Linked DNA regions of Drosophila melanogaster. The protein of the gene in region 2 purifies or fractionates together with the protein of the main gene of each other region. This does not show direct contact. Each region holds a gene or a part of one and is shown on either strand. Other genes may lie near its edges.

What was found.
Region 1: the proteins of CG7702 (region 2) and CG4781 purify together in Drosophila melanogaster (affinity purification with western blotting; one large-scale study listed by BioGRID). This does not show direct contact.
Region 3: the proteins of CG7702 (region 2) and CG13506 purify together in Drosophila melanogaster (affinity purification with western blotting; one large-scale study listed by BioGRID). This does not show direct contact.

The regions. Positions count from the first base shown.
Region 1 is NT_033778.4:24,638,298-24,644,633, reverse strand, and holds CG4781 (uncharacterized protein), read left to right. Parts: upstream 1-2,394; 5' UTR 2,395-2,421; coding exon 2,422-3,831; 3' UTR 3,832-3,951; downstream 3,952-6,336. Other genes in the region: CG3640 (uncharacterized protein), read right to left, coding at 3,973-4,728, 4,804-4,938.
Region 2 is NT_033777.3:18,666,137-18,676,519, reverse strand, and holds CG7702 (uncharacterized protein), read right to left. Parts: upstream 7,131-10,383; 5' UTR 6,958-7,130; exon of another isoform or gene 6,822-6,957; intron 5,383-6,821; 5' UTR 5,170-5,382; coding exon 5,146-5,169; intron 4,842-5,145; exon of another isoform or gene 4,785-4,841; coding exon of another isoform or gene 4,605-4,784; exon of another isoform or gene 4,426-4,604; intron 3,699-4,425; coding exon 2,109-3,698; 3' UTR 1,841-2,108; downstream 1-1,840. Other genes in the region: dind (diamond), read left to right, coding at 285-1,391; CG31230 (uncharacterized protein), read right to left, coding at 4,605-4,784; CG31229 (uncharacterized protein), read right to left, coding at 7,493-7,648, 7,718-7,911, 8,298-8,535; CG31231 (uncharacterized protein), read right to left, coding at 8,895-9,298, 9,363-9,459, 9,528-10,383.
Region 3 is NT_033778.4:22,380,585-22,387,850, reverse strand, and holds the start of CG13506 (uncharacterized protein), read right to left. Parts: upstream 4,718-7,266; 5' UTR 4,657-4,717; intron 1,478-4,656; exon of another isoform or gene 1,457-1,477; 5' UTR 1,387-1,456; coding exon 1,323-1,386; intron 457-1,322; exon of another isoform or gene 323-456; intron 269-322; exon of another isoform or gene 1-268. Other genes in the region: wrapper, read right to left, coding at 5,485-5,684, 5,743-5,877, 5,942-6,451, 6,520-6,999.

The DNA.
Region 1 (6,336 bases), on a different chromosome or scaffold from region 2:
TTGCTACCCACTCGTGGGCTTCCCCGGCGTATACTTAATATTTGAGCAGGCAAGAAGGTTGCCGGCCATTATTTGTTCATTATTCAGTTGTTATCAGCTGGATCTGAGCCAGATCCAATATACTGCCGCCTTGGGGCTTCCGGCCCACTGCCTTCTGCCCGCTGCGGTCAAAGGTCGCATTCTGTGGGCACGTCTGCCCATTAGAGACAATAATTTTCTTTAAATTTGCCGATTAAATTGAGCGCAGCGAATTCGAGTGATATCCCAACCCAATGCCAACCGCAAGTGAGTGAGTGTGTGTGAGTGTGTGCACGGGTATGCGGGTTAATGGGTGCTCTTAAAGCCAGACTAATGAATTTAGCCCGGTCCGCCGGAATTGCGAGTTTTAAATTGCGTGACAGAAGCGCTTTCAAAGGCAATTAGAAAACGAGCGAGTGTGCAGGCTTTTTGCTGCACACTTGGTCCCGAGTTAACAGGCCATGACAGAAATATTTAGCATACATCTGGGCTGGAATCCTTGTGAGAGTCCTTTGCCCATACCCGTCATACAGGTCACGTGGCGCCATCAGCCGCAGCGGCACTGACGACTTCCGGGAAGCGGAAGCTGTAGCCGGTCCGCATTATGGCGAATTAATGCGCCGTTATTAGACAAATGCATGACAAGCGATTCAATTAGGGCGCCATAAACTGTCGTCGGCTAGGCACATACATACATACATATACTTGTTGTGACACTCGGCTGGCATCATTATAGTCAATTGCAGGATGGCGCAGGACAATGCGCTCGCCTGCGGATAATCAAGCGCTTTTAATGATTTCACATTCTGTCCGGCGGGAAATTGCATTTCTGCCATCGATTGCCAGCTCTAGTTTCCATTCTCGCACTCTCGCTCGCTCGCGGTGGCCATCAGAAAGCAATTTAATATTAAAATTTTCATAAATATTCAGACAGCGAGTCGGCAGAACCACGCTGGCATTGCCATGTTTGGCACGTTTGGAAGGGATTTTATTTCCCGATTTCCACAAGAACGACAGCCAGTGCCTTCTAACTCGACAGCTGCCCCAATTGATGACCGTTTTTGATTCGGGCTATTAATTAACAATTCCATTATTGCAGATGTGCGAAAATTGGGCTTTAATTAAATTGCTCGTAATGCCGTAATTATTTCACACACACACACACACGTACTCTGAGCCCACATTACCCGTAATTAATGGGATTTTAGTTAAAAATACATTTTTGCTTGTAATAATGACATGGAGGCAAATTCAAATACGAATACGTACGTACAGCACCAGCATGTGCCTGGCATTTTCAATAAATTTAAGCACACACAGCTCATTAAATGCTTTACATGTGTTGGCTTTCCCCCAAACCCAAGCTCAAATTGTAGAAAAGTCAAGATGGAAAGTCACTGCTAGAGGGATGGGTGCTGGAAGCCCCTAATTTATGCAAATGCCTATGCCACAGTGGGCGACTGTGGCTGCTCTGGTGAGCCTGTGCACTTATGTAAGCCTCATCAATTTTCCATTGACACAAAGAAGAGTTCCACAGCAATTGCGAATGTAAATAGGGCACCATAAAGTTCGTTAGGGCAGCTCCTTAAGAGTGAAGCTCGACGAGTAGATACTTTTCTGAAATGATTTACTTTAGTCACCCAATTAAATGTGTCTGCAGTTGAATTATTTTGCTCCTTTCGAAACCATTCTGATTTTTCAAGTATAAGAAACACCTTTAAAATAGTAGACTTTAAAAGGCACACTCTTTACCTACGGAAGTTCCTTTCGCGACCTCAGCAATTAGGCGGCATGGGAACCGCACATTTAATCCCAGGAGTTGGAGAACATCATCTCGACACATCCAGCAATCAGCATAAAGCCCCAGCGAAAAGCATTAGGCGTAATTACGAATTGGGCTCAAGTCCCGACTTTTGGATGCAATGAGCTAGATAAGTCTCCATCCCGATGGGATTAGACATGACTTTTGAATCGAAACTAAGTCTCGACTCCTCGAAGTGTGAAATTGCGGCTTCATAGATCCATCAATACGGCGAATCTGACTTAACTCGCAGTCTCGTAGTGTGGGAAATGATTAATGAAAGATATCGGGTGATAAGAAAAGCTGCAAAGGCGATAAGCGTGGGCGGGGAGCTATTTGCTGAGAGAGGGAAAGATAAAAAGGTAAAGCTTCGCCGTGCTATCTTATCAACAATTCAAATCCCCGGGGCTTCGGACCCTCCACTCAAGCTCGCTGGCCAAATGTATTTCAATGACTAACCCAACCAAAGCATTTTGCTGATAAATTTATTGGAAAAATCGACTCAGAATGTGTGTGAGCTTTTCCGCCACTCGATAAGATATGAAAGTGGCACTAGCTGCGAGCCATTCACCCACTCATTTAGTATACCGAGAACCTTTACGATGGCGAGGTTGGAAGTTATAAGAGGGCTGACCTTTGCCCTGCTGCTGACGCAGTTGCTGGCAGCCCACGTCGCCCGGGCGGAGGTCATCGATGCGGAGGAGACGGATCGCTTCTGCTACCCGGAGTCCTCGAAGAACTCCCGGCGGTCCTGTGAGTGCAGCAACGTGAGTGCTTCTCCCTGGGGAAACCGAGCCCTGCGCATCGACTGCAGCTACAAGGACTACAAGGTGGCGGATCTCTCCCTGCTGCTGCCACTGTACATCGACTCCCTGGACCTGTCCTGGAACGCCCTGGACTCAGTACCGATCTTCACTAGCGACAGTCTGCACCAGCTGAACCTGAGGCACAACAACATTTCGCAGTTGGTGTCCGGAAACTTCAAGCAACTGACCAGTTTGAGGGAGCTGTATCTGGGCTGGAACAGCATTGGCAAACTAGAGTCCGGATCTTTTGACGGATTGCCACATCTGCAGGTCCTTGACCTAGCCCACAACAATCTGCACTTGCTGCCCGGTCATCTTTTTGCCCCGCTTTTGGTCCTGGGCACCTTGGACATCTCTTGGAATCGACGCTTCAACGAGTCTGGCGGGGATCTATACACCGGACTCGGGGTGAACTGGAAACTCTCCACCTTAAGACTGGACGCTTGTAGCCTAAATGATCTTCACCTGCCCGTAAATGCACCTCTGAAAGAGCTTTCCCTCCGTCGAAACCAGTTGAAGCGGATTCCCACACAGCTGCCGGAGACTTTACTCCGCCTAGACATTAGCGACAATCTGCTGGAGGAGCTGCTGCCGGAGGACACGGCTAATCTCACCCAGGTGCGCCAACTTTTTATCGAGGACATGCCGGTGCTCCAGAGGGTGGTGGCCAATTCCCTGACCCACGTAGATGTCCTCGAGACATTGAGCTTCCAGAACAGCCGTCAGCTTAGCCACTTGGACGCGGAGGCCTTTGGACCCATCATGACCACCCCCACCAAAAAAAGAGCTCTGCGGTCGCTGAGCTTTCGCGGCACTATGCTGCGCACCTTTAATTCCACGCTGGCGCCGATTTTTACTCAGCTTGCCGAACTGGATCTCAACGGTCTGCCGCTGCAGTGTGACTGCGAGCTCGTCTGGCTGAAGCAGCTGCCGGTCCAAACCAACGGGCGCTGCTACAAGCCGGCCCGCATCCGTGGCATGCTGGTCACCTCAGCCCGCGGCGACGCCTTCAGCTGCGACACCTGGCCGAGATGGGCCTACGGCCTGGTGGTGCTCTCACTGATCGCCCTCAGCGCCGCGGGGATCTACCTGATCGTCATGGGACTGAGACCCCATCGGGGAGTCACCATGCGGCGCAAGGTCGGTGCCGGCAGTCCCTACGCCCGCGTCACCATCGAGCCCAATCGCCAGGAGAATCCCCACTAGGTGTCGCCCAGTACCTAGTACCGTCTAAGTTCTTGTAGTCAATCTTGTAAAATCGCCAAACAGAAAATGTAAAGCATTTTAATCTAGTGGAAGTTACATTTGAAATATATTTAAGAAAGTACCCACTCAGCTCCAGATATATTAAAGACGTCCCAACTTGATATTGGGATGGAAGGCTACATCACGATCAGCACCCAAAACTTTCGATGGATGGGATGCGCTGTACTTGAACCTTATCCTAAGTGGCCGCTTTGAGTGAAAACGGTCGACGGCGTTCACATCGTATTCTTCCTGCAGAGCGCAGAGATTGGGATAGCGAGGATTCCTTCCCGACCTGCATCCTGTGGCAGCCACGCCCACCTGGTAGACCTGCTCGCGGGGCATATTCCTACGGGCAAAGTTACAGACGATGAACTGCTGGTGCCACAGCATGTGGCTCCTCTGGCGGAGCACGCCGCATCCCATGTGGGTGGAGCTTTCCTGTATCAACTGCCGGAAGCTGCTGATGTTGCTTGATGGATCGGCGGCTTGCAGATCCTTGCTGGCTCTCATGTACTGGCCAAACCAATTCGAGATCTTGTGGCGCAGCAGCTCCAAGTCGCTGTGCTTTCCCGCACTGAAGATTACGTGGCCCGTCAGCTGGCCCACGTGCTTGAATCGCCTGGTGTTGCGGCATCCATCGCCGGACAAACTGCACCTCTTTGCCGCCAGCTCAGCCAGCTGTGCCAGCTCGGGATCCCAGCGGACACTAGCCATTCGGCGGGCGGGTCCGAAGGCGGAGAGTCCGCCCGAAGCCACCTGGTTGCGATAGAAGTTTACCTGGTGCACAATGAACGCCTGCAACTGATTGCTGAGCGGGATTAGCCTGGCCTCCCTTCCGCAATCGAGGCCAAACGTCTGGATCGTATAAGGCATTTGTTATTTTATGAGGATCCGTATAGGAATTCGTACGTATACGTATATACCACTTACCCCGTTGTTGTTGCACGCTACGTGGTCGGTGGAACGCGGACACCAGTGCTCTTGGCAATAATCCCAGGAGTAGGCGGGAAAGGAGTTGAGGGTAACTATCACCAGGCAGATGAACCACACTCTGATCGAAAACATTGTTGACTGTAGAAGGGAGCCCATCTACTCTGAAGTCAATCAGTACGAGGCCAGAAAATTACCATTTTCACGGCTTAATAATCCCAAAAATGCGAAAACAAATCTATAATACATACGAATGTGTATAGATGATATATGGCTAGTCAAAGCAATAAACAGTTCATCTTCACAACTACAAATGGTTTTTAAGTAGGCTTTAAAAAATTAATTAATTTGTCCCCCTACTCGTATTTAAGCCCAATTGAATTGAATTAAGCCTGTCGATATGCCACTTGCGATGAGTCCTTGGCCGGGGGTGACTAGAATTTATATGCCCGACCAACTGGCAGCACTCCATTGTGCGCGGCATTAATAATAATAATACAGTATGTAATAGTCGCGTCATAAATACTCGGACCAACAGCTTCAGTTGCGAGGGTGGCGATAGATTTACGACCCTCGCGAAACTGGAATTCGCATAAATAAATATTTTTTGTATTGCCTTTCCCGTCTGGACACCACCCACCAGTATGGTGCGCATTATTAATTTCGATATCTGACGGGCAATTATGGTGCCCAAAATGGGCGGCGTTCTTTTTAGCTCATGAATTAGTTAATAGGGGATCCGAAAAATTTGGATTGCTCATACCACCACTACTAGTTGCAGCTCATGATTAAAGAATAAATATTGTACAGGAGCCATTCTGGATTATATTCAGAGTTTAAGCAGAAGGAAATTAAAGTAATAACTAGTTTGGTCATATCGGTAGAAACTTTGTTGTAAATCCATCCCTTTATGCCTCATAATTCGCATTTCTATGGCCAGTTGTGGGGCAATTATTGACAAGTAATTTGCATTTCACTACGACAATCTATCAATGACTAGCTCGTCATCGGCGACGCCTGTGCATATTAATTGTGGGCCATTTTCACGCCGTCTGTGTGCCAAAGCAGAAGCCAAAGGCAAAGGATGCGGTCTCTCCGGGCGCCTGCGTCCTGCGTCCGTGTGCCAGTGGCCCAGTGCCACGAGTTGCATGCCACTCCGAAGGCGAGTCCGAATGCGAGGCTGAGTCCGAACCGAATCCGAGCTCAGCTACGAGACACCAGCATCCGGAGGCGGGCTGTGTGCCAGTTGTAATTGGTGCGTCGAGGCGAGTGGACGCGCTGGCGGATGATTGATGCGAACATTGCGTATACGTCGTGTGTGCGGTTCAAACGTTCGGCGGTTGTGTGTGCGGACTGGGAAGCTGGTGAGCTGAGGAGCACTAGCTAACTCGAGGACCCGTTAATTGTGCGCTTGACGGTCTGGCATTGGCCGTGCGAATTATAAACCGCTTTCGAGGGCCGCCGGCCGATGTTATCCTGGCGCTCGTCAATGAATTATAATGTCCTAATACCAATTGACGCGGAGAGCAACGT
Region 2 (10,383 bases):
AAATGGTATCCACTATTCGCCCATATCATGAATTTAAAGTGCATATGGTAATCTTTAATGACGCATTCAACAGATAACTGATAACAAATAAATGATAAACAATTTGTAGTCGCTAATTGCTTTTAGAGGCGAATCAGACAATAAGTAGAGCTTACAATCTATTTTATCTATCTAGGTAATACGCCAATGCTTTCTGTAAATATACTTTTCTTTTGGTACACTCAAAATGTTATAATTTATATTAAACTTCCTCATCTAACTTACTAATTATAAAATTATTCTAGGACTTTCACAACATCTTCGCCTATGTGCAGTCACAATACCTGCTCCGGCTGGCACTCACCATCACAACTCGTCCCTCGATCTCTCAGCTGAGCGAGGATCTGGTGAAAATCGACAGCCTGGTGAGGCAGTTGGTACAAGAGGAGGAGCAGCACTTCAGTAATCTAGCATTAGCCCTGCAGAACAAGAAGCAATTGGAACTGGCTGAGCTGAATGCGACTAGAGCAGAGCAACAGCAGAGTGGACCAATTGCTGTGCTGCAGCACTCCTCGCTAAAACTAAGCGCCTGCATGGTGGCCGTGGCCGCAGAATGTCAAGCTCTGGACGTGACTCTTCAAAAACTCACTGTCACAGAGGCGGCAAAAAAGAACAACTCCAAGGAGCTGGTGGCTGTGGCCAATAATATGCATGGCATCGAAAATGCCTTGGCCGTTTGCTGTGATGATTTCCAGCGATTGATGCTGGTCTACAACAAGTTCTTGCACAGTCAGCTGGATTTGGAAGGAGAGTTGCCGAAGCCCAAGCAGGATCTCGACGATGAATTCCCCGAGAGCATTCTTAGGGTTGAGTTCTCGCAGAACGTGGATGCTCCGCAGCAGAGGGATGACTTTTATGCATACATGTACGATGAAAACGAGGAGCAGCACTTTGAAGCTGAGCAGAATGCACCGTTTCCCTCGCCGGAAAAGGAACTGCTTAACTTCGAGAAGCGTATTACCAAGGGAAGGTTTAAGCCTGTCCTCAAACAGCTGAAAGATCGCATCGATCCCATCAGACAAGTTATGCTGGAAAAGGAGCGTGAGGTTCTGGCCTCTAAGGGCATAAATGTGGACGAGCTGTTTGGCAAAATGGAAAGAGTCGAGCAGCAGCAGGAGGACAATCGCTTGGCGGATGCCGCACCCTTACCTGTCTACGAATCCTCCAGCAACTCAGATTCGGACTCTGCTGACGAAGAGGCATTCAGGCGACGCAGCAAACAGCACAAGGAGCGTGATAATTTTGCTGAAATGCGTCAATTTCTTGCTCAGAAGCAGGCTATTAATCTGTTTAAGCTACCACCACCACCTGTGGCCGCCGGTGGGGAGGAGCTGCTTGAAAGTGAATGCTAGACGGGCTGGCTGGCTGTTTGTTTTGTTGTTCACTAGCCTGTTATCTGGATATTTGCTCTGAATAGTTTAAGCTTTTATCATTTATCTAGCCAATTGGAGAGATAGACCGCTCGCCAAGCGACGCCACATCACCCCGAACACAACTTTCTGCCTTTCGGTTGTTCCTCGTTTTGATGTTCCCTACCATTTTTATAACTAAATAAAACATAGCAAAACAAAATAAAACAAAGCAATGAATAAATGTTATTAAGTAGGCCAACTCTACATAATACATATGTGAAAGCAATTGGAAAAAATTCATTTAAACTATTTGAATCGGCAATTCGTTTTGACACTTGCGTTTAAGGAACTTAATTACACTTTTAATTAAAAATCATTGTTAAAAAAAAAACATAAGTTTGGCAATCACGTTACCGATATATGTATACTCTATGTAAAGAACTGTAATTGAAATTAAAAATCTTTTATTACACACTAATGTGCGGATCTTAAGTACAATACACAAACATCGATGGCTTCACTAAATACTAGGGTCTAGGGACTGGCAATGGGATCAGCTCCTTTGTGGAAATTAATACAGGGAGCACCTACATATGTACAGGATAGCACGCACAGGAAGTCTTTCGGTTGGGATCGCGTCACTGTCGTGGACATCTTTGGCTCGAAACTTGTGCAGCTAGCTCGGAATTTGAACCGTATTAGGATTTTAACACCGTGTTAGGCATTGGCAGCACCAGTGGTCACCCCACTGCTGCTCCCGGCATGAACATTATTGAACTTGCTGGCCACCGAGACGGGCTGCAGCTGCGAGAACTGCGACAGATTGCTGCCCCTAACGCTGGTGTACCGGATGGGTTGTACTCCGTAATCGCTGCCCTTGAGCCGTCGGCGCACACAGACCACGACGAATCCGATGACCAGACCAATTACCAGGACAATGCTGGCTATAATGGCGGTGAGTATTATGTAGTGGCGTCGCAGGAATCGCGGTGGCTCCTCGTCCACCTCGCGATATTTCTTGGGTATCACCATTTTGCAAATACGTTCGGCTGTCAAATTGGAGAGCGGAGATCCGGCCAGAAGGTATGGCGTTTCACAACGCGCCTCAGTTCCATCCCATTCCCGATCGATGTGGTTCAGTCCAATCAGCTCCAGGGCTTTGAACAGTTCGCAGCTGCAATACCAGGGATTTCCGGAGATGCTCATGCGACGGAGTCGTGGCCAGGTCTCATTCGTAGAATTACTACTGTTATTGCTCGAACCGGTGGCATTGATAACCAGAGTAGTCAGTGCATTCCAGGACAAGTCCAACTGCGACAAATTTCGACTGCTCAGAAGATCGGCCAACTCCAAGCGCTCCAGCTTCGAGTTCCTAGAGCAATCTAGGTGCTCCAAGGCAGGCAAGTTCAGAGCACCCTTCTCCAGACTTCGCAGGGAGGGCATGCTACTTATATTCAGTCGTTTCAGGGAAACCAAGCCCTGCAGGCTATTCTCCTTCAAGCTGAGAAATGCATTTCCCGCCAAGTTGAGTTGAACCAAAGATTTGCCCAATAGCTGCAGGCTGGCTGGCATCGTGGAAAACTCATTTCCGGAGACGTCCAGGAAACGGAGGCTTGTGAGCTTCGAGAAAAGCTGCGCTGGCAAAGTCATCAGGCCATTGTGCGAGAGATCCAGTCGCTGCAGTGTAGCAACCGATCCAATGGAGGCTGTGGTGGCTTCATCCAGGGAACTCAGCTTGTTGTAGGCCAAGTTCAACTTGGTCAAGTGGGGAGTGTGCTCGAAGAGCCGGCGATCCAGTCGAACTATCCGGTTGTGGCTCAGGTCCAGGTCTCGCAAACCAATCGGCTCGTAGCGAGTGTTGCGGAAAGGACCCCTGAAGAGATCCGGCACCAAGGCATCGTCAGTTATATCATTCCAGCTGATATAAAGGGCCTGCACATTGGGCACGTCCATGAACAGCGGAGCCTGCAGATCCTGTAGGCCACAGTGGCGGCAGGAGAGAGTTAAGCTGGCATTTGTGGCCGGCAGCTGTTGGAGCAACTTGATCCTATTGCCCGAGTACGAGACGACAATCTCCGATGCAGCTCCGGACGCAATCGCCTGGCTGCCAAACTGCTCCGGCCAGCGGGCCAGGATGTGCTCGAAATTCCTCACCGAGCAGTCCAGGTTGAAGTGCGTCCGATGATCCACATCCTGGGTGCTGAGGCACAGGCACGTCTGGCAGATGTTGCTCACCGGCTGGTACGGAATGTCCTCATGTTGGCTCCGAACTTCAGTGGCCAGGAGCAAAGCCGCTCCTGCAAGGAACTAAATGATAATAAGCGCTTGAGTTAAATGATACAATTGCATATATAAATCAAAATAAATTTTTAAGTGCTTTCCGTTTCCTTCGAAATATTGTGGAATATATCTAGTTAAAATCTTACAAGAGTTTTAAATTTTAATTTAAATATTTTTTGGATTGTTTTTGGAATTTCCTCAATTTTTAATAAAAAATCAAATGGGGATCTTTGCTACATTTCGTCTCAAAAAAAAAAGTACTTTAGGGAGATTATAACATTCTCGGAAAAACAACCTGAGTAATATGCACGTGTCCCTTGAAATTTTCGCCACATTTTCCATCGTTCTGACCATGGACAGAGTGTTGTATGTCTGATTTGAAGCTGCTTCTCATATGTCACGATTGCCACGAAGTACAAGTGTTCAGACAGACGAAAGTACTTTGCAAACCAGTAAGGTTGGCGCCATTAATATAATTGCATTGCTGCATCCAAGAGTTCTAAAAAGCTGAGACGTGTAGCGAATACCAATGCAATGTTTTATAGGAATTTTATATAGCAAAAGTAACTTGATTTTCATTTAAGGAACAGTCTAACTGCTAATTGCCCACACATAATTGATTGCATTGAATACTAAGAAAATACGTATACGACAGGGTTAACGGACACAAGTTTGCTTAGTCAACCTAAAAAACTGTGCTCATTTTTTTTTTTAAATCAATCATTTCTGGGTCAATATACAAAACAAAGAAATTATTCTGTCATCGATCGTTGGTCTGTGTACACCGCAATAAATATTTATATAATTAATCAAGTATATATTTTACATTAGCATTCTATGGAACATATGGGTTCTAGTAAGATAACATTGATTGATATAGTAGATTCGGTCAGCCATATTCTACATAGATGCGTCTAGTTTGGTTCGCTGCAACTACTCTCCGAGGAACTTTAACATAATAACATCAAGAACTACATCCTCGGCTTTGTCAATCACACATAAGGAGAATACGAGCTCGGCCATCTTTCTCCAACGATCCCCACGATTTCTGTTCATCTTCATTAGGGTTTTGAAGTAAATTCCGATTGGTATCCGTACTATTGCTGCTTTCATGTGTCTTGAAGACTTGAGATAAATTTGTGGCAAAACATGTTCAACTGATATCGGTGAGTGAAAACTGAAAGCCAATGCGATGTATCTCCAAGTGGAAAACATCTCGACATGACGCATCTGATTGACTCACACAGATCTGATTCGATAACCTATATGGCATCCTAATTTTGTTGTTTTTTTTTTTGGGCCAACTGGCCGTCCGGAAGGAGGTCATCGATGTGCTTCATAAAAAGGTCTCCCCACTTGGGCACATTCAGGAAAAGAGCTTAACGGAAAACACTCTCTGATCCCCACTATCTGAGCCCAAAGTATGTGCGATAAGATAGGGATACTGTTTTAGATGGCTGAAATATTTACTCACCAACAACAGAAGTTTGTGCTTCATTATGGTATCGGTTATATGTAGATTCGATTTGAGTTTCGGTTTCGGTGTTTTCCAACTCAGGCGTACTGAATTTCGAGTTATGTTGCTTATATCTTTTGAGTTTCTTGTTCTTGCACTTATTTGTCTTTTGATTAAATTTTTATCCAGAACATTTACTTATTACTTTTTAAACGCAGCACACGGCAAGCGTACTGCATGCCTCGCAGTATAGAACTAAATATATGAATCAAGTAAAGCCGCCGTGGACTGAAGCATTATTTGTTTTGATTAGATATCGGTGGGCAAGAGAAGAGAGTCTCTCTCGGGGCTCCACTCCCTCATCCTACCTCTATCACGCTCTCTCTCCCACGTTCTCAGTTCTGAGATCGTAATCTAAGCCGTCGGTAAAAATGAGTAAAAAGTAAAAGTGAATTCTAATTGAGTCATCAACGGACTCTTCTGCCTTTCTGGCTCTCCCCCTCTGCTTTCTCTCTACTTCTATGTATATTTTTCTTTGCAAGGCCGTCAGATTGCTTTGCTGCTTTCTTCGTCAGCTAATTGCTCGTAGCCACCTGCCTAAAGTGCAATTGCCTCTCGAGCATACAAGAACTACAGTATTGCACCCCTACGGCGAATTTCAGTATCTCTAAGAAATGAAATAACAATGGATCTACAATTGAATTTCATCAATAAGTTGTATCTTTTAAATCCAAAAGTAATTTCGTTACTACTCTCGATTATATCTCATATTTTTCTAAAGAATTGAAAGGAATAAAAACAAATCAGAAGCCAACATTATGTTGTTATTTTTTTCTACATTTATTGTATATTTCTTTATACAGTACTCAACATTAGCATTTCGAGCTATAGAAGTTTTACTGTATTGTTTGGCTTCGAGCAGATTGCGCTGTGATAAGATAAGACTTTGTGTCTCGTTGTGGGAAAAAGTTGGAGCCAAATAATTAAACCATCAGTTCACTCAGCTTAGCCCCACCACATCTGCTCCAAATGACTTTTGATTCAATGGCCGAAGGAGAGCCAATTAGATGCGATCGCAATTGCAAGTGTCACTTGGTTCCATTGAACTTGCTGACGCCTGGCATCGGGAATTAAGAATCGAGAAATGAGAAACGAGAGCGAAGAATGGAGAATTGAGCTGTTCGCAGCTGCCGACGATGAGAAAGGCAAACAAGAAGTGTTTGTGGCTCTGGAATTGGTTGCATAAACAAAATACTGACGAAGTTAACCGAACACAGCCAGACGACCAATGTTGCCCAGACACTTGTGACTCACGATCGCATTGGAGGCAAGTACAGTGGACATCGCATAGATTGTAAGTATCTATTGTGGTAGCTTTTAAAGTCGTCACAATGCACAAATGTAGCAGCTCCAATACGAAATATTTCTAATATCATTTATACCTGTATCTACCTAAAAAGCAGTTTCATTAGAATGCATTAATATTACACTATCTTTTAAATGTCCCGCCTTTGATGTTCCTAGCAAATGCTATCAGAAACTAGTTCCCCGTCTCACTTCTTATCCGATGTCCACTGTAAACGTTCACCTAAGAGATTTGATCTCTGTCGCCTCGCCTCCAATAGCGTTTCTTTCAAGAAACCGCAAGGGTGGCGGACGAGACGCACATCCGTGGCAAAGTTCCATGTGCTTACTAGTCGTTAGTCTGTGTTTAATTTAATGATGAAGGCTTTTGCATATTCCGTGAACTGCACGCGACCCAACCGCACACACAATAAAAGTAAATGTCCGTCGAGTGCGAATGAAACCCGTTTGCGTTGCTGCGGTTACTGCTGATCTTGCCGATGTTGCTGCTGTTGCACTTTTGCAGCTGCTTGGGGAACGATGCTCATCCTCGTCTGTAGAAGAAACACGCGCGAAGGCTGATGTCGAAAACGGAAACGTTAGCGCAGAGGAGCCAGCAACGAACGATCTCTACCTGCCCGCCGCTCGAGTCGAACTGAACAAAAAAACCGAAACTGGAAATTTGCTGCTGGATCGAGATTCCCGTTCGCGTTCCCACAAAAGTGGACACAGTGCTCCCCCGAAAAGAAAACCGGTCGGGGGCTCGCTGGCCGAATTTTAAAGCGAGACTGTGGCACATTGTTTATGCCACACAGTGCCTTTTTGATTGGGGCGCATTATTAATGTGTGGCAGCTGCACTTTTCCAAATGTCAGGGCTCCAAATGGTAGCCAACCGGAAATGGGGGCCATTATAGGTCGTGACGAAAGCGTTTCCTTGGCGGCAATTCACAAAAGCATATCCATAGACGTTAGTTAGAAACAAACATTTACTACGAAACAAGGTAACCGAAGAATATGAGCCTATCTAGAATACATGTAGTAGTCGATGGCCGTGGAGAAGGCGGCGAATCCCAGGCCGCCGATGATGCCCGCCTTAACGCCAGCCCGCAAACCAATCAGTCCTCCAGTGATGCCTCCAGCGTAGGTGCCATTCTTCCAGTCCGTGACGCCCCGATGCTGCAAAAATCAGAAGGAGTTCTAGTTAATACAAACTAATACACAACGCTTTTGAGCAGGTGGACTTACGCTCTCGATGGTGCACTCGACGGCGGAGAACACACAGCCGATGAGCGCGAAATTCTTCGCGTAGGAATGGGTGGTGGAGCGCATTTCGCGGAAAACCTCCCTGGCCGTCTGCTTCTTCTCATTCGCGAACGGATCGGCCATGTTGGGATTAACGGAGGCGCTAAACAAACCCAAAGCTGCACCCAAGCCATAGCCTGAAATGGAGTATAGATATATGGTTAACATAAATTTAAATTCTTACATTTAAGTTACTAACAAATACTGAATCTGAACAAATAAATAGAATATTGTAAAAGTAAATAACTCAACATGTTATAATTTGATTAGCTTTTTGTAAACATTTCATTAATTAACCATTAATAATAACATATAATAATCAAGCATGATTGGTGAATCGAATTAAGAGGTATTGTTATAAAATAATAACCATGGATGGATTAAGGACATATAGGACATATATTCAAATGTCCAATGACTTGAATATGCAATAATCTGTCATAATCAAGAGGGGATTGTTTTGCAAGTGGTTGTTTTGATTATGAACAATTAGCTTGTAGTAGTAGTAGATAGTGTCACCCACCCATCACACAGGCCATGGTGCATTTGAATCCACAGCTCTCCACCGCCGTTTCGATGAACTTCTCCTCGTTGGTCTTGATCTTCACGGGGCCGTTGCTCTTGGGGATTATGATGTTCTCGCGGTAGCGCTGCATGTTTCCGACGTACTCCATCGCCATGCGATCCAAATCCGGATCGCCAAACATTTTGGGCGCCGTCACCGACGATTCATTGTTTCCGGCGTTGGGCAGCACGGACATCTTTGCTATTTTATATAGATTTTTATTCACAAATGCAGGATTTAGTTTTGCGCTAAACGTGTTGTGTAAAAAAAAAACCAAAATTATTATCACATCGCCGAACAGCTGGTTGCCAGGGCTGAACTATCGCAGCAACGAGTGCTTATCGACAAGCAGAAAAATACCATCCGCTATTATCGATTGTCAAAAGAAACCTGAAATCGGCGGGGAAGTACCTTTTTAAATTGTTCTCCTTCGAAAGCTTAATTTTTCGTTACATTACGTTTAATGTTCAACATTTTCACACATGGGTGACAGTTATATAAGGTACACTCAAATTTATTTGTGAAAATCCTTAGAAAATTAGAAATGCATCCTAATTAACTAAGATACCGTATCGAAAAACTGGACTGGTACTTGGAGTCTTCGCAGGCGCGAATGCGTTTACCCAACTCGTTGCAGGTCTTCTTCATGGCCTGGATGTGACTACGGCGGGCCTGTATATCGGCCATGCACTTATCGTAGTCGTACATCAGGCCCGGCTTGAACAGCAGTCCGCCCTTGGTCTCCAGCTTGTCCCGCTTGGTCTTGAGGTCGGCGTGCTCCAGCTGCAGCCTGGTCAGATCCTTGCGCAGCTTGTTTCGCCGCTCGAATCGATCTATATACTCGGCCCTCGCCTTGGAGAGCATGTAGGAGATCATGTCCCGCTTCTCACGCACGCACGTCTCCTCTATCATGGACTTCTTGTAGTTCGACTGCATGACCGCAACATCCTTGCACTTTTCTATACAATTTATACGCAGGTGAGTTTAACGATTAACTTAAAGTTCTAGAGTTCATCAATTTACCCTCTAGTTGCTTGCTCAACTGTATTATGGATTCGTTGGCGCACAGCATTTGCGAAATGGTCAGCGTCTCGGTAACACGCTCGAATTTCATCACTTTCTGCGAGAGAAGAATATACTCGTATTTTTCCAACAAGATTGTAAGTTCCTAGCATCATTCGTCCTTACCTCATCCACAAATGCCAGGTTGTGAAGGTTCAAGTTGAGCTCGTAGCGCTTCTCGCTGATCTGGTTGCGAAGATCCTGCATGCGCCTAAGATCGTTGTCCAGGGCGCGCCTCAAGCGATCCATGTCCTTGCGGATGAGGGTCTTGCGCATGAATCCCTCCAGACGCTGCTCTTCGTTGAAGGCGAGAACAGAATACGAGTTAAGCTCCAGCATGGCGCGCGACGCACTGTGTCCGTTCTTGATCTTGATCAGCTTTACCCGCTCCATCAGATTGTCCACCGAGTTGAGGGCATTCATGTAGCGAATAAACTCGCCAGCAGCATCTTCCGGTGGCAGTGGCTGAAAGTTGTTGAACTTGCGATTGCGACGGAAGTAGTCACAGACGACATTGTTGAGGAGGGTGTTTTGGTACTTCTCGAAGGTGTAGTCGTCTACCAGACGCTGCAGCTCCAGCAACATCTTGCGCTTGTCCAACAGGTTCTCCTTGTTCTTCTCGGCGTTCTCCGCATTTTCCACCACGGTATTGATAAGATTGTTCAGGAAGTCGACAGTGAGGCGATACCAGAAGGGCTCTTCGACGGGGACGTGCAACTCCTGGTGGGTCTCCATCTCCGCATCGACGGCCTCGGTGAACATGGCCATGGTGTCCACTTCCTCCCCAATGACGACCTGTTTTTCTGTCGGCTCTTGCTCATCCGGCAGATCATCCATCAAAATGGAATCGTCGTCCTCTTCCGACTCAGCCGCCGCATTTATAGCAGTGCTAGCATCCTTATCGGAACCCGAAGAGCTCCCCGACTCGCCCTCGCCGGCATCTGTGCCATCCTTGTGAAATACACCATCATCTGTGTCCGCC
Region 3 (7,266 bases), on a different chromosome or scaffold from region 2:
TATCAACTTCAGTTCTGCAATAGCTGAAGGGTGAACTAAATTTATGCTCATGCAGACAAACAAATATTGTTGTTTGCTAGATGTAGAAGTATTATGAAATACAGTACAAATTGACTCTGGTTGTTTTTGTAGGCCAAACAACAAGCTAGAGTATTCTTCAGCACCTAGAATTTTGATATATGAGAAGGCAAAGTTCCAAATTCCCTGGGGCCCGTGGCTTTTAGTTTGTTTTTTAATGGTATTTTCGGTCATAGGCCTTATCTCATGGCTAAAATTGGACGAATTTAATTTTTAATTAAAAAAAGGAAGAATATATGCGTACCAATATCGAAAAACGTATCTACATATGTGTGTATGTATGTATGTACGTACATATGTATGATTACATCTGGAGCATGGGGGCGTTTTCACGTCCCAACAAAGTTTACGAGAAAATATTCAACATTAAAATGGCATTCTTTGCACAGCATTCGTGTATGGCAAATATTTATTCAACTCGCTGGGCGATATTCATTTTTTATTCGTATTCCAGAACACATGGCACCCGGTTTTGGATACTGGGTGGTAGGTTTTCCTTTACCGAGCCAAGGTATATATGTAAGTGTAGTGGAATGTGGAGCGTTATCAGCAATTTGCGCCATATTTCAAAAAGCGAATGAAACTTAACTTTCAGAGCGGTGGTAACTCTCACGAACGATAAGATATACTTGTTTTTTTCCAACAGTTTACGCAAAAGATAACGCCATACGCACGTGGCTCACACCTATATACACTAAAGACTATAAACGAGCGTATCTGGAGCTTTCTGGGGAGTACGAATGAGTAGAATATGTTAAATGTATGTGAACGTGAGGGCTCGTATCTGGGGTGGCGTTGCTCATACTTATTTCTGAACGAACCGCAGTTATTCATAATATCTGGAAATTACGTAAACTCATTGAGGCGTGGAAAACTCTTTAAACTGACATAGTTTTAATCAAATTTTCATTTGACTGCTGCAAACCAGATGGGGTATATTAGCTTGATGTAATGCAGATATATTCTTGCTGGGTAATATAATTTGAAAATATTGATTGGTATCAACCCAATGATGACCCAGTTTTCAAACAGCAGTTTTATGTACAACTAGGCTTCTTCTGCCGCACTTTCGAATCTTCGTATCTCTACAAGAAGTCGTAAAAATATTACACATCCATTACAACTCTCTCCAACTTTCGACTCTTAGATTCGATTTAAACACTTCGGTGGCAATCAAATCGTATCGCGCTTTTCCGAATTAGTTCTTTGTTTTTATAGGCCATTAGATTGGGTCCTTGACTTACCGTATAGTTGTCCAATTAGCAGACTAATGAGCAGCAGCCTCGTCGAATCTCTCGCCTTGATCATGATGATTGGTGTTTGTTTGCCTGACTGGGTTTTGGTGAGTTCGTTTTATCGATTGGAATTTGGTTCGGAGCTGTCGGAGGTAGGTCGTTAACTGCAATTAATATGGTTGGTTCGTACTTAATTAATTTGCTAAAGCCATTATGTTACTCCCGATCGGGAACCGCAAAAACCACCGAAATACAATTTACTTTTCGGCTTTATGATTTCTTAATTTCGCTTATCGTTTATTTCGTGCATTTTATATACAAGTCGCGCCGCGGACCGGAAATTTCTAATTGGCTTGGACAAAATGCATGGAAAAGCGCCAACTACAAACGATTTTTTTCGCAAAAAAAAAAACCAAAAAAAAAAATGAAAAAACATATGGCAGCGTAAAGAAAATATTGGACCGATCTGTAAACATTGCTCACTCGCTTGGCCGCATTATGTTATGCAAGCCGCCAGTTGTATCTGGTGGCAATTTGCTCTCCGTCGATAAGTTGTATCTTGAAGATATTATGATCTCTACGCGAAAAATGGCCATTTGCTAGTTTAGCTACTAATTTGCAGCTCACAATCGCGTCCCTCTCTCAAGGTACAGTGCAAATTCCTTAGAAAAACAATCCATGTTTTTTTAAGTTTAAGCTCTGATATAGGTTTCAGAATGTTTTGTATATCAAAAAGGTTATTTTTAAATCAATCAAATAATTATATTGTTTACATGTGTGATGCTGTGTGATTAATAGACATTTTTATATGAATAACTTTGAGTATTAATTTTTAAAATGAGAACTTCAGAACCCCTTGCATCTCTTGCCGATTTCGTTTTCTAGGCTTATGGAAGTTCGACTGTATATTTCTCTTTGGGGCTGACTCAATGCCAGCCGGCCAGTAAAGTGGGTCGAAGTGGGGGCTTTGGGGGTGCTGTTGGGTCAGGGTGTGCCAAGTCGAATAGCATGCAAATGTTTATGCATATAAATAAATTAATGTGCAAATGCGAAAAAATTGTACAGCACGAAAAGTCGATGCAAAAACCAAAAAAAAAAAAAAAAAAAAGTACACAAAATTCGGGCTGTTGATATAAAAGCCGTTTTGCAAATGGCGGGCATAGCTCACCCATACAAACAAACAATTTGCATGTGCACATATGTGCACTAAGTTGTTTATATGCTCGACTCATAAAACAAACAATTTTGCAATGCCTGATGATGATCATAATCCATCGCTGATGCATTTGAAAAAAAAAAAAATTTGAACATTTCGCAAGATTTGGCGGGCAAATAGTCGACTTATTGATTCTCTTTTTAGCACTAGATTGATGGAAAGCTTTCACACTTCTAAGTAAATAGAAACCCAATCCGATCCCTTAGATCATTTTAAGAAACTTTAGAAGTTACGTAGCAAATGAGTTGAAGACATTTTGAATATATGTACAAAGTACCATAAAAATATATATTTATTTCAATGGTTACTTTTGCTTGGAAAACTCAATGCATCTTCCTGCCATCTGCTGCTGTTTGTAAATATTTCCCTTTTTTCCCTGCTTCCATAAGCATCGCTGAACAAAAGCTCCCTGATGAGTGAGAATTTCCGCACTCACTTGTGTTGCTGAGTTTTCCCCATCCAGTATTTTATGGGTTGTCACCTGAATAGACGACACCTCAGATACAGATAAACGGTGTGTACTGACGCTCGTTGGCACCTCCTCCATGCGGCAACAACCTCTAAACGGAATTTACGCCCCTCCAGTCTGTTTATCAATTATAAAAAATCAAAGGAGGGAGTAGGTGCAACTAGGTTGTTTTCTACTTGATACCCTTTAATGGGGTATTTTAATTTATAAACCTGATGCAATAGAAAAATTCTAAGCTGAGCGACTTCAATCATTTTTGACATGTTAATTGGCCATATAGGGAATAATTAGATATACTTTCTGTGATGAAAGCCACGCGGGGAATTATCTAAAACACATTAATTTCCTGTTTAATATTACTTTGTAATAAAACGAATGCATTACTTTGGCATTATAGTTTTTCAATTCCTTGTCAAATTAAGATTAAAGTTTGACCAAACTTTTCAGGGTATTTAAGCTTCGGATTGTTTGGTCAAACTTTATTCTCGTTTTTTGTGAGTTCTTTTACTAGGGTTCTCTTTAAATCAATGCCTTGATTGTTGTTGTTTTTGTCTTTGGCGCTTTGTTTATTTACATTGCGCTCAAAGTTAACACACACAGGCGCACACACTCGGTGTGCACTTGTGTGAGTGGGGGGAGGCACAGATGCAGCTGTCTTGCATCCGTTGAATGCTTTTTGGGGGATCCCAATTGGAATTGAAAACTTTTCTGTTGTTTCTTCCCGTTTTTTGCCTACTCCCAATGTAAATAAAAACATGTATAGAAAATTTGTTTTCCATTCAGCGTTTCTGTAAGCATTTCCCTTTTTCTTTCCGCTCCCAGCAGCTGGTCCCTAATTCCCCACCCCCCCCCCCCCTCCACCTTTTTCACAGCCTGCTCTACAACTGGCTGCTTTTCCTCTTGCATTTTCGCTTTCATTTGACCATTTTCCTTTGCCATTTATTCTGTTGTTTGGTGTATTTCTGTTGCCGGCACAACGGCAGCTATTTTACATATTTATACATATTTATAGAATGTGCAGCAAAGAATCTGCCAGCGAAGAAAGAGCGAGACGGCCAAGAATTGCAACTGAAACCGAATTTGAATTTGAATCTCTGCCAAATGGGCTCCCGAGGAGCAGGATAAAAGTGAAGATATGGAGCACATCTGCTGGCCATTCTGGCCATATCGTAGGCCATTTTCATGAATCATCGCCTGTCGTTTTGGCCCGAAGACGAAATCACAAAATCTTTTAGGTTTCGGCACAGCTTCTCAGGGCCGCCAGAGTTACAGAATGGATGCGGTGCGCTGCGTTCGAGATTGTTATTTTGTTTCGTATTTATTTTGCCCGGAGAGCCTAGAGGAGGAAAACTGGTTTCTGGTCCCCAGATACCGACGCGAGATGAGTTGAAATTCGGCCGAAGCGGTACAAAAGTGGTTTCTTCCTCTTCACCCTTTTGTTTTTCCCGATTTTGGTACGAATTACGTTTAAAGCACTCGCGCGTTGGTAACGCTTTCGCCCGCACGCCATTTCCCAAGCGATTTGTACACGTTTTAGCCAGGTCGAATGCAAACGTTTACGTTTACAGCTGTCGGTAATTGGCCTTAAGCCTAGGGTTTTGCGGGGCACTAGGCGCTAGGCAATGGCTATTGGTTCAGTTGGAGCTGTGGATGGAGACCTTTTTTCTGCGCTGGGGCTGCGTGGAGAACCGAACGCGAAGCTGTTCAAACGAGAACTAAAAGTCGAGCGCGTGCTGATGCCAAAAGCACTTCGAAACGATTGGAATAAGCGGAACAGCTCTCTCCATATCTCTCTACACTTAGTGCTTCGCTCTCCGATGCATTGGGGCCTTTAAATAACAGTCCATTTGCAGAGAGAGGGAGAGAGAGTTCGGATAATGAGAGAGAGAGAGAGAGAGGGAGAGGGAGAGAGAGCGGGAGTCTTTGGGTCTTGGGGCCTGAAAGATGCGTTAGCTGTCCGCAATGTCACTGCCAATTGAAGTTTAAAGAGGAAGCCCTATACTGAAAGAGTACCCTCGAAGTTGTTTGCTGGGGCTTATGGGTTCATCAATGCAGAGATTTTCTTTTTAAAGTTACCAAGTCTTCATTTAAACATATAACACATACGCACTGTAGGCCGCCTATATACATATTTTAACTCCTTGTAAGTTTAAAATTGGTTCTTACGCTTTTTTTTTATATTTCTATTTATGTTGTCTTTCGAATACATTTAATACTAAAATTACAAAATAACCTTAGTTTATTATTTTTTTTTAGAAAAAGGAAATGCCATCGTTTGACTTATGTATATTTCATTGCAGTCAATGATAAATATAGTATCATAGTCACCAGCATTACTTACTGTTTACTATGATACACTGCTCAGAAAAATGTTATCTCACCTTTTTTACGGAAGTATTATTCAACAAAAGCAATCTCAATATGAATCATATATGCGCTATCGCTAACATTGAATGTTCATTTATTAAGATTTTTTAGGATTAGATCTAACTTATTAATCGTAATATATTTATAAGACATAAGGAATATATAAAGGCACTGATTCCGCCGCGCCCATTAACCGAGCCCGAGTTGAACATCATGCTGGCCGATAGAACCTCAGATCTCTGGGTGATTTCGTTGTGGAAGTCCTCTTCGGTAAAATCGTCCTGAAGCTCCGATTCAGTCGAGTAGTTGGGCAGTTCAACTGTGGAAGTAAGAGGACAATTAATCAATGAATTCATATGTAATTTGCATTAATTCACCTTCTCCGCCTGTGGCAAAACGCACTATCTTGCTATTGTCGCTCCAACCAAAGCTATTTCTGGCCAAAACGGAAACTTCGTAGAGACTAGCGGGCTGGAGGCCATGTAGAGTGTATGTGGTTATATAGATGAGTCCTAAATAAAACGTTATGAACATGAAAAGAAGAATCTAAGGATATAAGCTTAAGAGTATCCTTACCGTTTGTGGCCTGAGCCGGGATCGTGAGCTCTGTCCAGTTGGTTCTAACCTGGCGGGTGACATTGTTCGAGGGGATCTGTCGGAACTTGAGCTTGAACTCCATGATCGGTAGCAGGCTCTCGGTCTGCCAAACGAGGACATGCGACGTGGAGCTCTGGGTGCCGGGGTTAATCTTAAAGAGGCAGGGCATCGGACGGCCGGTCAGCTCAACACTTCCGCTTTTCACGGATATCTGATTGCTGGCGCGGCACTCGTACTGCCCCATATCCGCGTTCCTCACGCTCTTCACCACCAGCATGTGACGCACGGCGTTCACGTAGTGATCCACCGACCGGTTCGTCTGCAACTCCGACTCGTGAGTGGTGGAGTGGGCTCCCAGTGCCACCGGCAGTCCGTGATGGAACCACTTAACCGTGGCCGCCGGTGCCGCCTCCACAATGCACTCAAGATGGGCACGGGAGCCCAGTTTGGTGTACACCACGGGTTGGGGTATGCTCACCTCGGGCGAAACTGTCGATTCGAGAAGGTCAGTAAGTTAAAGTTAATTGCTCAAGTTGACTTGAAGCTTAATTACTCACATAGCACATGGAGATAGACATTGGCCACCGCTGGCTCACCCACTCCATTGCTGGCCACGCATTCTATGAGGCCCGCCTGGTTCCTCGATTTGATCTCCAGGATGAGGCTTTGCCGATTCCCCGTGTTGCTCTGTGGCTGGATGACATTGCCGTTCAACCGCCAGGTGATGACCGGTTGGGGCACTCCCTGGGCCTCGCACACCACCTCGAAGATTGCACCTATCCGCTGCTCCGTGAGATCCGATGGTTCAATCAACACCTGTGGAGCCAATTGCACTTCGATGGCGTGCTGCTGGACCACATGACCCGAATCCGAGTTCATTTCGCAGTAGTAGTCCCCGGTGTCACTGGACTGCACGTTGGCCACCTGCAGGCTGCCATTCGGCCAGAGCATTATGCGATCCGGCGGCGGGAGCTCCGGGTGTCTGGAGTCCACCAGAGCCACATCGTCCCGATGCCAACGGACGTAGCGGAAGGGAGCTGGGTATGTGAGGTAATAAATTTGATGAACTTATGTGTTTTATTTTTATGTTTTCGCGAATTCCATTTTTATCTACCAAATATTTAAAAGAACGAAACAGAATTCAGCAGAATTGTATCTCGAATCTTAACAGTTATCTGGCGCTTATCTCACTGCCAAGATAAATAAGAATAAACAAAAGCATCCGCTCGAAGCCCAAATTGTTTGCATTGATCATCGATATATGAACAATAAAAAGTATACGTTGTTTTAGCTAACGAAAATTT